Saccharomyces cerevisiae S288C: one gene and its partners. Changing the gene in region 2 together with the main gene of any one other region gives a genetic interaction. Each region holds a gene or a part of one and is shown on either strand. Other genes may lie near its edges.

Region 1 (3,650 bases), on a different chromosome or scaffold from region 2:
CAAGGGTTTCTTCTGTGAACATTTTGAATTGTACGCTTAAGATGATAATACCTAACTGATTCCAACCTATATTAGTAGAACCGAAACATACAAATAAGTGGTTGTTTGGCCGAGCGGTCTAAGGCGCCTGATTCAAGCAATATCTTGACCGCAGTTAACTGTGGGAATACTCAGGTATCGTAAGATGCAAGAGTTCGAATCTCTTAGCAACCATTATTTTTTATCTTTTTGGTTCTGTGATCAAGCTACCCGCGTTTGAAGCCGACTAAAGACGAGAAAAATTAGACCTTCATTTTTGCCTGTTTGCTGCATGTAAAAGAATGTTGGTTGAACATGTCGTTTAAGAGAAGAAATCGGGTACGGCGCTCTGGCTTTTAAAATTGAAGAAATTGGTGTTCTTCCGGTTAATACTTTGAACTCGGCTTTTCTTAACATGTAATAAAGTTTGTTACATCTCCCATAATTAAGTTTCTGGAACACGCATTGTTCTATTTTTAGACGGGAGACCAGAACTTCCTGATATATGACCGCTTTTTAGTGACTACGTATACTTTCTTTCTGCAATTACGTGTAAGAAAAAATTGATTTTTTATTTTTAAATTCACGGAATTTCAGACTGTGAAAACTTTGTAGTTCCAACTCACTTTGCTATGCAAGAAAATAATGAGGGGAAACAAAAAAAAAATGAGAGCGGAGAAAAGAACAATGCAGCTCAAGTATGAAGAAGAAAGTCACAGCAACGGAAATAAAAATCAAAATTGCGAAAATTGACAATCTTGACAATCGAAGCGGAAAAACAATGGAAGGTCCAGATACCTGTTGACCTTAAAAATGCAGAAAAATCGCCTTTATACGGCGACATTGTGAAAAATGACGTTAAAATCTTGTACATAAAAAAAGGGAATTACAAACTTGTAGTGTTTTTTTTTTTTAGGGGACTTGCATGAAAGTTAAATTTTATAGAAGTAATTAAATAGTCGATTTCCTTTCCTGTGTGTGACGAATCTAGATTTTTTTCATGTAAGAGACCCCGCCCTGCGGAGAGGGGCAAACAATTCTAGCAGAAAAAAATCAGTGGAAAAAAAAAAGAAATTCCGGATATGATAGAATATTTCTTCGAGAAACCTTTTGGATGAGGAGTGCCCTTCCATGAAGAAATTCTTCCTGCATCAGCACCTTCCCGGCAAGGCATTTCATTTTTTTTTTCCGAGAAGAAGATTTTTAAGTGGGCTACCCCACGCTTTCGGTGCCTATGGTAGCTGCATGATCACACAATGCACTCCCATTAAGAGTTTGTGAAGTGCATGAGATTGACATCTCGGCGTCCCTTAGTTTCCTGTCGGATTTTCAGTTATATGGAGTGGGTGAAGTCATTATCCGAATATTCGCGGATCATTGACGTATAAATACTTCATACTACTTCATACCAGATATTTCCTACATGTTGAAAGTCAATTGAAAAAAATAAATCATCACTTAACTCTTTTCCAGTGACACATCGCAAAGATTACTCAAATAATCTTCCTAAAACAATACTACCAGCATCTATTTCATGCAGCACCAAGCACAGAGGCTACATATCATATAAAATAAGTCATCATAGAGAAAAAAATGTCAGTAAACCCAGAATTTATAGCCGATGGCATCGATTTTTATCCAACAACGCCCGATGCCGCGTATTTCAATGCCGCTGATGGTAAAAATAAAGTTAACAGGATAAATGGTAACTCAGAAAATTTACACCACTCCTTTGCATCGGGTTGCCGTAGATCATCTCTTTCAGTCGACTTTAATGTTACCTCGTCCGATTCAGAAAAAAGTGAACAGAGCTGCTTGGAAAACAACTCTCAAGAAGACGAATATTTTTGTGACATTTTTTCCACTGAATTAAAATTAGATGAAACTTCTAACAAGTCAACCGATTATTCCAGTTCAAATCACCAGTATCCTGAACAACTGGAGTTGCACAATTATAAACTGCTCAATAAAATTGGTGAAGGGGCATTTTCCAGAGTATTTAAAGCAGTAGGCATCAACACGGATGACCAAGCTCCTGTTGCCATCAAAGCAATCATAAAGAAAGGCATTTCGAGCGATGCCATCTTAAAAGGGAATGATAGAATCCAAGGTTCCAGCAGAAAGAAAGTCTTAAACGAAGTTGCCATCCACAAACTGGTTTCGAAAAATAATCCGCATTGTACAAAATTTATCGCATTCCAGGAATCGGCGAACTACTATTACTTAGTGACGGAGTTAGTCACAGGTGGGGAAATATTTGATAGGATCGTCCAACTAACATGCTTTAGTGAAGACTTAGCTCGTCATGTCATTACTCAGGTAGCAATTGCAATTAAACATATGCACTACATGGGTATTGTGCATCGTGATGTCAAACCAGAAAACCTACTATTTGAACCTATCCCATTTTATGGCCTTGATGGGGACATGCAAAAAGAAGACGAGTTTACATTAGGTGTCGGCGGAGGCGGTATTGGTTTAGTGAAGCTAATGGACTTCGGACTAGCCAAGAAACTTCGGAACAATACCGCAAAAACTCCCTGCGGAACGATAGAATACGTCGCATCAGAAGTATTCACCTCCAAACGATATTCCATGAAAGTTGATATGTGGAGTATTGGCTGCGTACTATTCACGTTATTGTGTGGATATCCTCCGTTTTACGAAAAGAACGAAAAAACATTATTGAAGAAAATATCGAGAGGAGATTACGAATTCTTGGCGCCATGGTGGGACAACATAAGTTCTGGCGCTAAGAACGCAGTTACCCATCTTTTGGAGGTTGACCCAAACAAGAGATACGATATCGATGACTTCCTAAATGATCCTTGGTTAAATTCGTACGATTGTTTGAAGGATTCAAACTCAAATTCTTATGCCAGCGTGCAAAGCATACTAAATGATTCATTCGATGAGAGAGCAGAGACCCTACATTGTGCATTAAGCTGCCAATCTGAAAAACAAGATGACACCGAGTTTTCCAGAAGTGAAAGCTCGGAATACATATTTATGACGGAAGAAGACAGAAACCTACGGGGCAGTTGGATCGGTGAGCCAAAAGAGTGTTTTACCTTAGACCTTGCAACATCTTCTATATACCGAAGAAGGAAGAACAAGATATTCTTCTGGTAAACTCTTATCCAGTGGAAAACGCACCCAGCATATTCGAAAATATATCAACTGTCTCCCCTTTTTATACTAATAATTAATAGCATTCATATTGAAATAATAAAAAAGATACGTTTAATATTTACGCCAGCTCTCTAGTTACAGTTTCCTAACGCATACGTCATCAATTTGTTAAGATCGGCTTCGCTCTATAAAAATGTCGGCCGAAATTAGCATAGGATTTTCCGCGGTTCCGACCCCTATCCTAGAAACACGGAAAAACTTGCGAATAATTCCGGAATTTATTCTATGCAACTTTATGAAGACAAATTACTATAAATGAACCGCTCATTCAGAAAAACTATGTCTCGAGCTCAATGGATCTTACTACATAGTTTATAAAAACAGTAATTGTGCATTGTACAACTGTGCTAAACAGACTTAAAAAAGTAATAATTATGACTACTGATACCACTGTTTTCGTTTCTGGCGCAACCGGTTTCATTGCTCTACACATTATGAAC
Region 2 (2,960 bases):
TGGGAAAGTTTACAGACAGCACTAATCCATTCAATTATACATCATACAATTTAAGTCCCGACTCTGAAGACCGCTCTACTCCAAAATCAAATGTTAGTCAGGGTAAAGTAAAGAAGTACCGTCCTCCCAGTGTTCATCTGGATCAACTGCTCGACGGTAAGGAATAATTGCGTCCCCACCTTTCTACACCTCATTTACACTAAGTGCGACTCGAAAACCTAATACTTCAATTAATGAGAGGATACGTGTAAATTCCTCGCCATCACCATGCGCTGTTTTTAGTACACCATTCTTTTTTCGCATACAGATACAAGCACTAAACTGATCGTACTTTGCCAATGAATAAAATGGTGCATCTGCGTATCAACTTGTTGATTGCGACGGAAGACCAGGAAATTTTGCAGCAAAATATATTTGTTTGTATCCTCCGCCCCTACTGGAGCTTGTTAGAAAGCTTAAATACTATAAACATAACTATACAGAAAAATCTTGTTCTATAGTCTAAAAATTTAACCATGCATACGCTTATCCTGGATGGCATGATCTTTGTTATCTGAAATTATACGGAAGATATCACGGAGAGCCTTCTTTAGAAGAAGGTTTTAGCATTGCTAATCTTACTAAATGGTATGCTCTTTTGGCAAATGCGTTCATCACCAATTCAGTCACAGTTTTCGCAAATATTAGAGAGACACTGTTATATATCCGAGATTTGAATTTAAATCTTAATAGAAGTTCTACCATGGCCGCATTTGGTCTATTTGGGTGAGGCATTATGGTCCATTTCGAAATCAAAAGGTGAAACAAATTATGAGATATTGTTTCTGCAACAACGGTATACGTATGATCAGTATCTTTACAGGTAACATTGCATATAAATTCCTCATCGTATTGTTTGAAACCAACTCGAAGCCCCGCAATGAGAGGCTTGTTATCCACAGGATTTCGTTTATCTACAAACGAATCAACACAATAAGGAATAAATTCCTTATATTGGGCAACTTCTGACACTGCAGCGTAGACTGTGCTTGGAGGGGCGTTTATGGCCTTGCGCAAAACATATCGCTGTTCCCTAATAGTGTGATTGGTACCGCTCAAACCAAAAAAATTTCTTTTAAGAGGATATCTCCCAATTGGCTTGAGCATCGCTTTCCTGAATAATATCAATGTCTGTGAGGGCCTTATTATCAAAACCATTCTCCACGGTATCTTTAGCCGTTTATTGTTTGGCTCCTTATCCTATTATTCGTTTTAAATAGTTCAGGTTTTTCAGACAACTCGATCTTTAAATTTTTCTCTAACATGAGAAAAAGCATGCCATCCTATGTAACGGTTGAAACAGATCATAAGCTGGCTTCAACTAATCCAAATGTCTTTTGATATTAATTGGAGTACATTGGAATCTGACAATAGACTGAATGATCTTATAAGAAAACATTTAAATTCATATTTACAAAATACGCAACTACCAAGCTACGTAAGTAATCTTAGGGTACTAGATTTTGATCTGGGAAAAGTTGGTCCTGCTATAACACTGAAAGAAATAACAGATCCCCTAGATGAGTTTTATGATTCAATTAGAGAGGAGGCTGATCAAGAGACGGAGGAAAATAATGACAACAAGGAGGACAGCGAACATATTTGTCCTGATCGTACTATAGCTAATCATGAAGGACCTAAAGATGATTTTGAGGCGCCTGTGGTGATGCCATCCCCCAACGATATACAATTTTTACTAGAGGTCGAGTACAAGGGTGACTTACTCGTTACGATTGGTGCCGACCTTGTGCTGAATTATCCCGTAGAAAAATTTATGACTTTGCCAGTAAAACTTTCTATCAGTGATATCGGTCTCCATTCCCTTTGCATTGTTGCATGTTTATCAAAGCAACTATTTCTTAGCTTTCTGTGTGATGTTAGTGATCCTGCACTGGATGACAACCAAACTGTTTTAGATCCTAAGGGGCCAATTCTGGCAGCTACTAAGCCATTGGAGCGAATATCCATTGTGAGAAGTATGAAGATTGAAACCGAAATAGGGGAACAATATCAGGGACAGGGCTCAGTATTAAGAAGTGTTGGAGAACTAGAACAGTTTTTGTTTACGATATTCAAAGATTTTTTAAGAAAGGAGTTAGCATGGCCAAGTTGGATTAATCTGGATTTCAACGATGGTGATGAGTAATTTAACAAAGATAGTTTGAAAATAGTGTCTACATAAAAAAACAAACATTTTTGAGCTGGAAAATTATATTTTGTCATGAAGTAATCTATTCTTAACGCGCTTTTCGCATACGCTCTTTGATGATATTTTAGATGACCCAAAAGAGTTAAAGGAAATCATCAATGATCCTCCAGTAATCTTATACTCTAGACAGTTGTCCGTGAAGTTACACCTAAATAATCATATATATATATATAACTTATATACAGTGGTCTAATATCTATTGAATAATATTAGAACATGCTATGCAATCTTTTTGCTTGTGTTTGTGAAACCAATACCCTTGATAGTAGCTATCATGTCTTCATTATCCGCCTCGTCAACTGGTTTTAAAAAGACTTCAGTATTAAAGATCTTCTTAATATCTCTCAAGAGGATTATGAATCTTTCGTCTATCTGTTCCTTATTAATTCTCAATCTGCCGATATCTTCTTTCCCGATGACCATGTAAACAATTGCTAATGGAAGCTGGTTTCTACCAACTGCTGCACTCTTTGATATTTCTTCTAATAATTGACAGGCAACTTTTTCACCAAGTTCTTCAGGTATAGAACCTGCATCACCGATATCTTCTGCAAAATAACTCCAACCTTTCTGCTTGGACTGAGCAACCAAAGTAATACCCCAGCCTGGACTCTTCCCTGAATTTTCACCTCTCCAGACATCTGCCGTTATGTTAACTTCGCATTGCAGATTTTTCAATACCTTCTTAGCACCATCGATCATTCTATTCACA
Region 3 (2,689 bases), 570 kb from region 2:
TGCGATAGTTGTATTCTGATTGCCTTATTATTATTTCACTAATTCTTTATTCACGTAGAGCATGACACTTTTTTTATGTGTTTCCTTTTGATTGTGAAATAAAGGCGAATCCTAACAAATATTAAAATGTTTCAATACATTGATAAAAATTGTAAACATTATTTTTTTGTAGTATAAAAATTCGTTCCTCATCATTAAAGAAACAAAAAGCATACAGATAATAATAAAAAAGGCACTTTAGACAGAATGAGAATACTAGCAATCACGAATTCCTACTTTTCCTTTCTGTATCCCTAGGCGTTTCACTCGACAAGAATTGATCGTCTTGTACCAATCCAAGCAGATCGATATATACATATATATCTGGATTTCGAGAAGAAGGATATATTTTATTGCTTATTTGTCTTTTTATAAAATCTCTCCTAAGTTAAGTTCATGGGGAATCTGACTCTAAAAATGAAATCTTAGAAATGCAAAAAAAAAGAAAAAGTATGGGTGAGTCAGTTTCTTCCAAATATATACAAATGGTCATCATTTTCATTCCAAAGTTTCTTTACCAGGTCAACAAAACCATTATTTTTCGTTTCCAATTCGTAGATACCGTACAGGGACAACATGGATCCTCCATAGAGGCAATAAAGGGCGAGCTTATGCCATCTTGGATACTTTTCCTTCGGTATATAGTCAATAATACAACTTGTGAAGCCATACTGTAAATATATCAAAAAAATGGACGATAAAGACGCATCGAGTAAAGGATTTATAACCCCGCCGGTAAAGGAGGCATAAAAAGGTACCATTGTTAATGGAATCAAAGTATATTTTGCTATTCTCTCATAGTCTTTTTGATAAGAGTCCTTAAATTGAGAGAACTCTGGGGGCTTAAACATCTGCACTGAAGAGGATGCCTCTTTTGACGTATTTGCAATATCGTTTATTTTATTTTCAGCATTTAAACGATTAATGCTATAAAAGGATCTTTTGGTTGAAAGTACTAATCCTGGAAAAACAGCTCGTACAGGATTTACAATGACAGTGGAAGCATTAAGAACAGGCTTCAAGCCAGGAAACAATAGCATTACCAAAGGTATTAAATTACTCAGTTGTTGCACCTCGCATCACCGTTAATTAATGTGTGCATTCCACTGTCTGGAAGTTTTCATTTTTATCCGATCTTTTGCGAGAATGGTTTGTTTTTCAAAAAAACCGAGTGTCAACAAGGCATGTAGCGACACAAAATGAAAAATTGAAAGTTAACAGGGCAAGATATGCACCATAATAGATTCATTGTTAATCTTAATCAAATAAAATTTCTCTTTTCCACACAGAAAACTAAACGAAAGGTATAACTTTAAGATGGGTTTTGTTGATTTCTTCGAAACATATATGGTCGGTTCTAGGGTCCAGTTCAAACAGTTAGATATTTCTGATTGGTTGAGTCTGACCCCAAGGTTGCTTATTCTTTTTGGCTATTTTTACCTTCATTCTTTTTTTACTGCAATCAATCAATTCCTACAGTTCATTAACACGAATTCCTTCTGTCTTAGACTGCATTTACTATATGACAGATTTTGGTCGCATGTGCCCATAATAGGTGAGTACAAAATTCGGCTGCTCTCGAGGGCACTGACATATAGTAAACTGAAAATAATACCAACTTTAGACAAGGTGCTGGAGGCGATTGAAATTTGGTTTCAGCTACATTTAGTTGAAATGACCTTCGAAAAAAAAAAAAACGTCCAAATTTTCATAACCGAGGGAAGTGATGACCTAAACTTTTTTAAAGATAGCAAATTCCAAACCACATTAATGATATGTAATCATCGATCAGTGAATGACTACACATTGATTAATTACCTTTTTCTCAAAAGTTGTCCCACCAAGTTTTATACTAAATGGGAATTTCTACAAAAGCTGAGGAAGGGGGAAGATCTAGCTGAATGGCCTCAGTTAAAATTTCTTGGTTGGGGAAAAATGTTTAACTTTCCTCGATTGGATCTACTAAAGAACATATTCTTCAAAGATGAAACACTCGCACTCTCATCGAATGAGTTAAGAGATATTTTAGAAAGACAAAACAATCAAGCTATTACTATTTTTCCCGAAGTCAATATCATGAGTTTGGAACTATCAATTATTCAAAGAAAATTACACCAAGATTTTCCCTTTGTTATAAACTTCTATAATTTATTATACCCAAGATTTAAAAACTTTACCACTTTGATGGCTGCTTTTTCATCAATTAAAAACATCAAAAGAAAGAAAAACCGTAACAATATAATCAAAGAGGCCCGATACCTGTTTCACAGAGAACTTGACAAATTAGTTCACAAGAGCATGAAAATGGAGTCTTCCAAGGTATCCGATAAGACGACGCCGCCCATGATCGTAGATAATTCATACTTACTTACAAAAAAGGAAGAAATCAGCAGCGGCAAGCCCAAGGTGGTACGAATCAATCCATACATATATGATGTCACCATAATTTATTACCGAGTCAAATATACTGATAGTGGGCATGATCATACCAACGGAGATTTGAGACTTCATAAAGGTTATCAATTAGAGCAAATATCTCCGACAATCTTTGAGATGATTCAACCAGAAATGGAGTCTGAAAACAACATAAAGGATAAGGACCCCATTGTTGTGATGGTAAATGTAAAAAAGCATCAAATTCAACCATTAC

Evidence for each region. A genetic interaction does not mean that the proteins touch.
Region 1: mutations in COQ10 (region 2) and RCK1 together harm fitness more than expected from each alone (negative genetic interaction), as found in Saccharomyces cerevisiae (2 studies listed by BioGRID).
Region 3: mutations in COQ10 (region 2) and TIM18 together harm fitness more than expected from each alone (negative genetic interaction), as found in Saccharomyces cerevisiae (2 studies listed by BioGRID).

Annotation. Positions count from the first base shown.
Region 1 is NC_001139.9:205,422-209,071, forward strand, and holds RCK1 (putative serine/threonine protein kinase RCK1), read left to right. Parts: upstream 1-1,611; coding exon 1,612-3,150; downstream 3,151-3,650. Other genes in the region: carbonyl reductase (NADPH-dependent) ARI1, read left to right, coding at 3,585-3,650.
Region 2 is NC_001147.6:308,549-311,508, reverse strand, and holds COQ10 (ubiquinone-binding protein COQ10), read right to left. Parts: upstream 1,198-2,960; coding exon 574-1,197; downstream 1-573. Other genes in the region: CSI2 (Csi2p), read left to right, coding at 1-167; ERMES complex subunit MDM12, read left to right, coding at 1,370-2,185; RCL1 (rRNA-processing endoribonuclease), read right to left, coding at 2,468-2,960. UniProt on the Saccharomyces cerevisiae protein: Required for the function of coenzyme Q in the respiratory chain. May serve as a chaperone or may be involved in the transport of Q6 from its site of synthesis to the catalytic sites of the respiratory complexes.
Region 3 is NC_001147.6:874,243-876,931, forward strand, and holds TIM18 (Tim18p), read right to left. Parts: upstream 1,080-2,689; coding exon 501-1,079; downstream 1-500. Other genes in the region: MUM3 (Mum3p), read left to right, coding at 1,357-2,689. UniProt on the Saccharomyces cerevisiae protein: Component of the TIM22 complex, a complex that mediates the import and insertion of multi-pass transmembrane proteins into the mitochondrial inner membrane.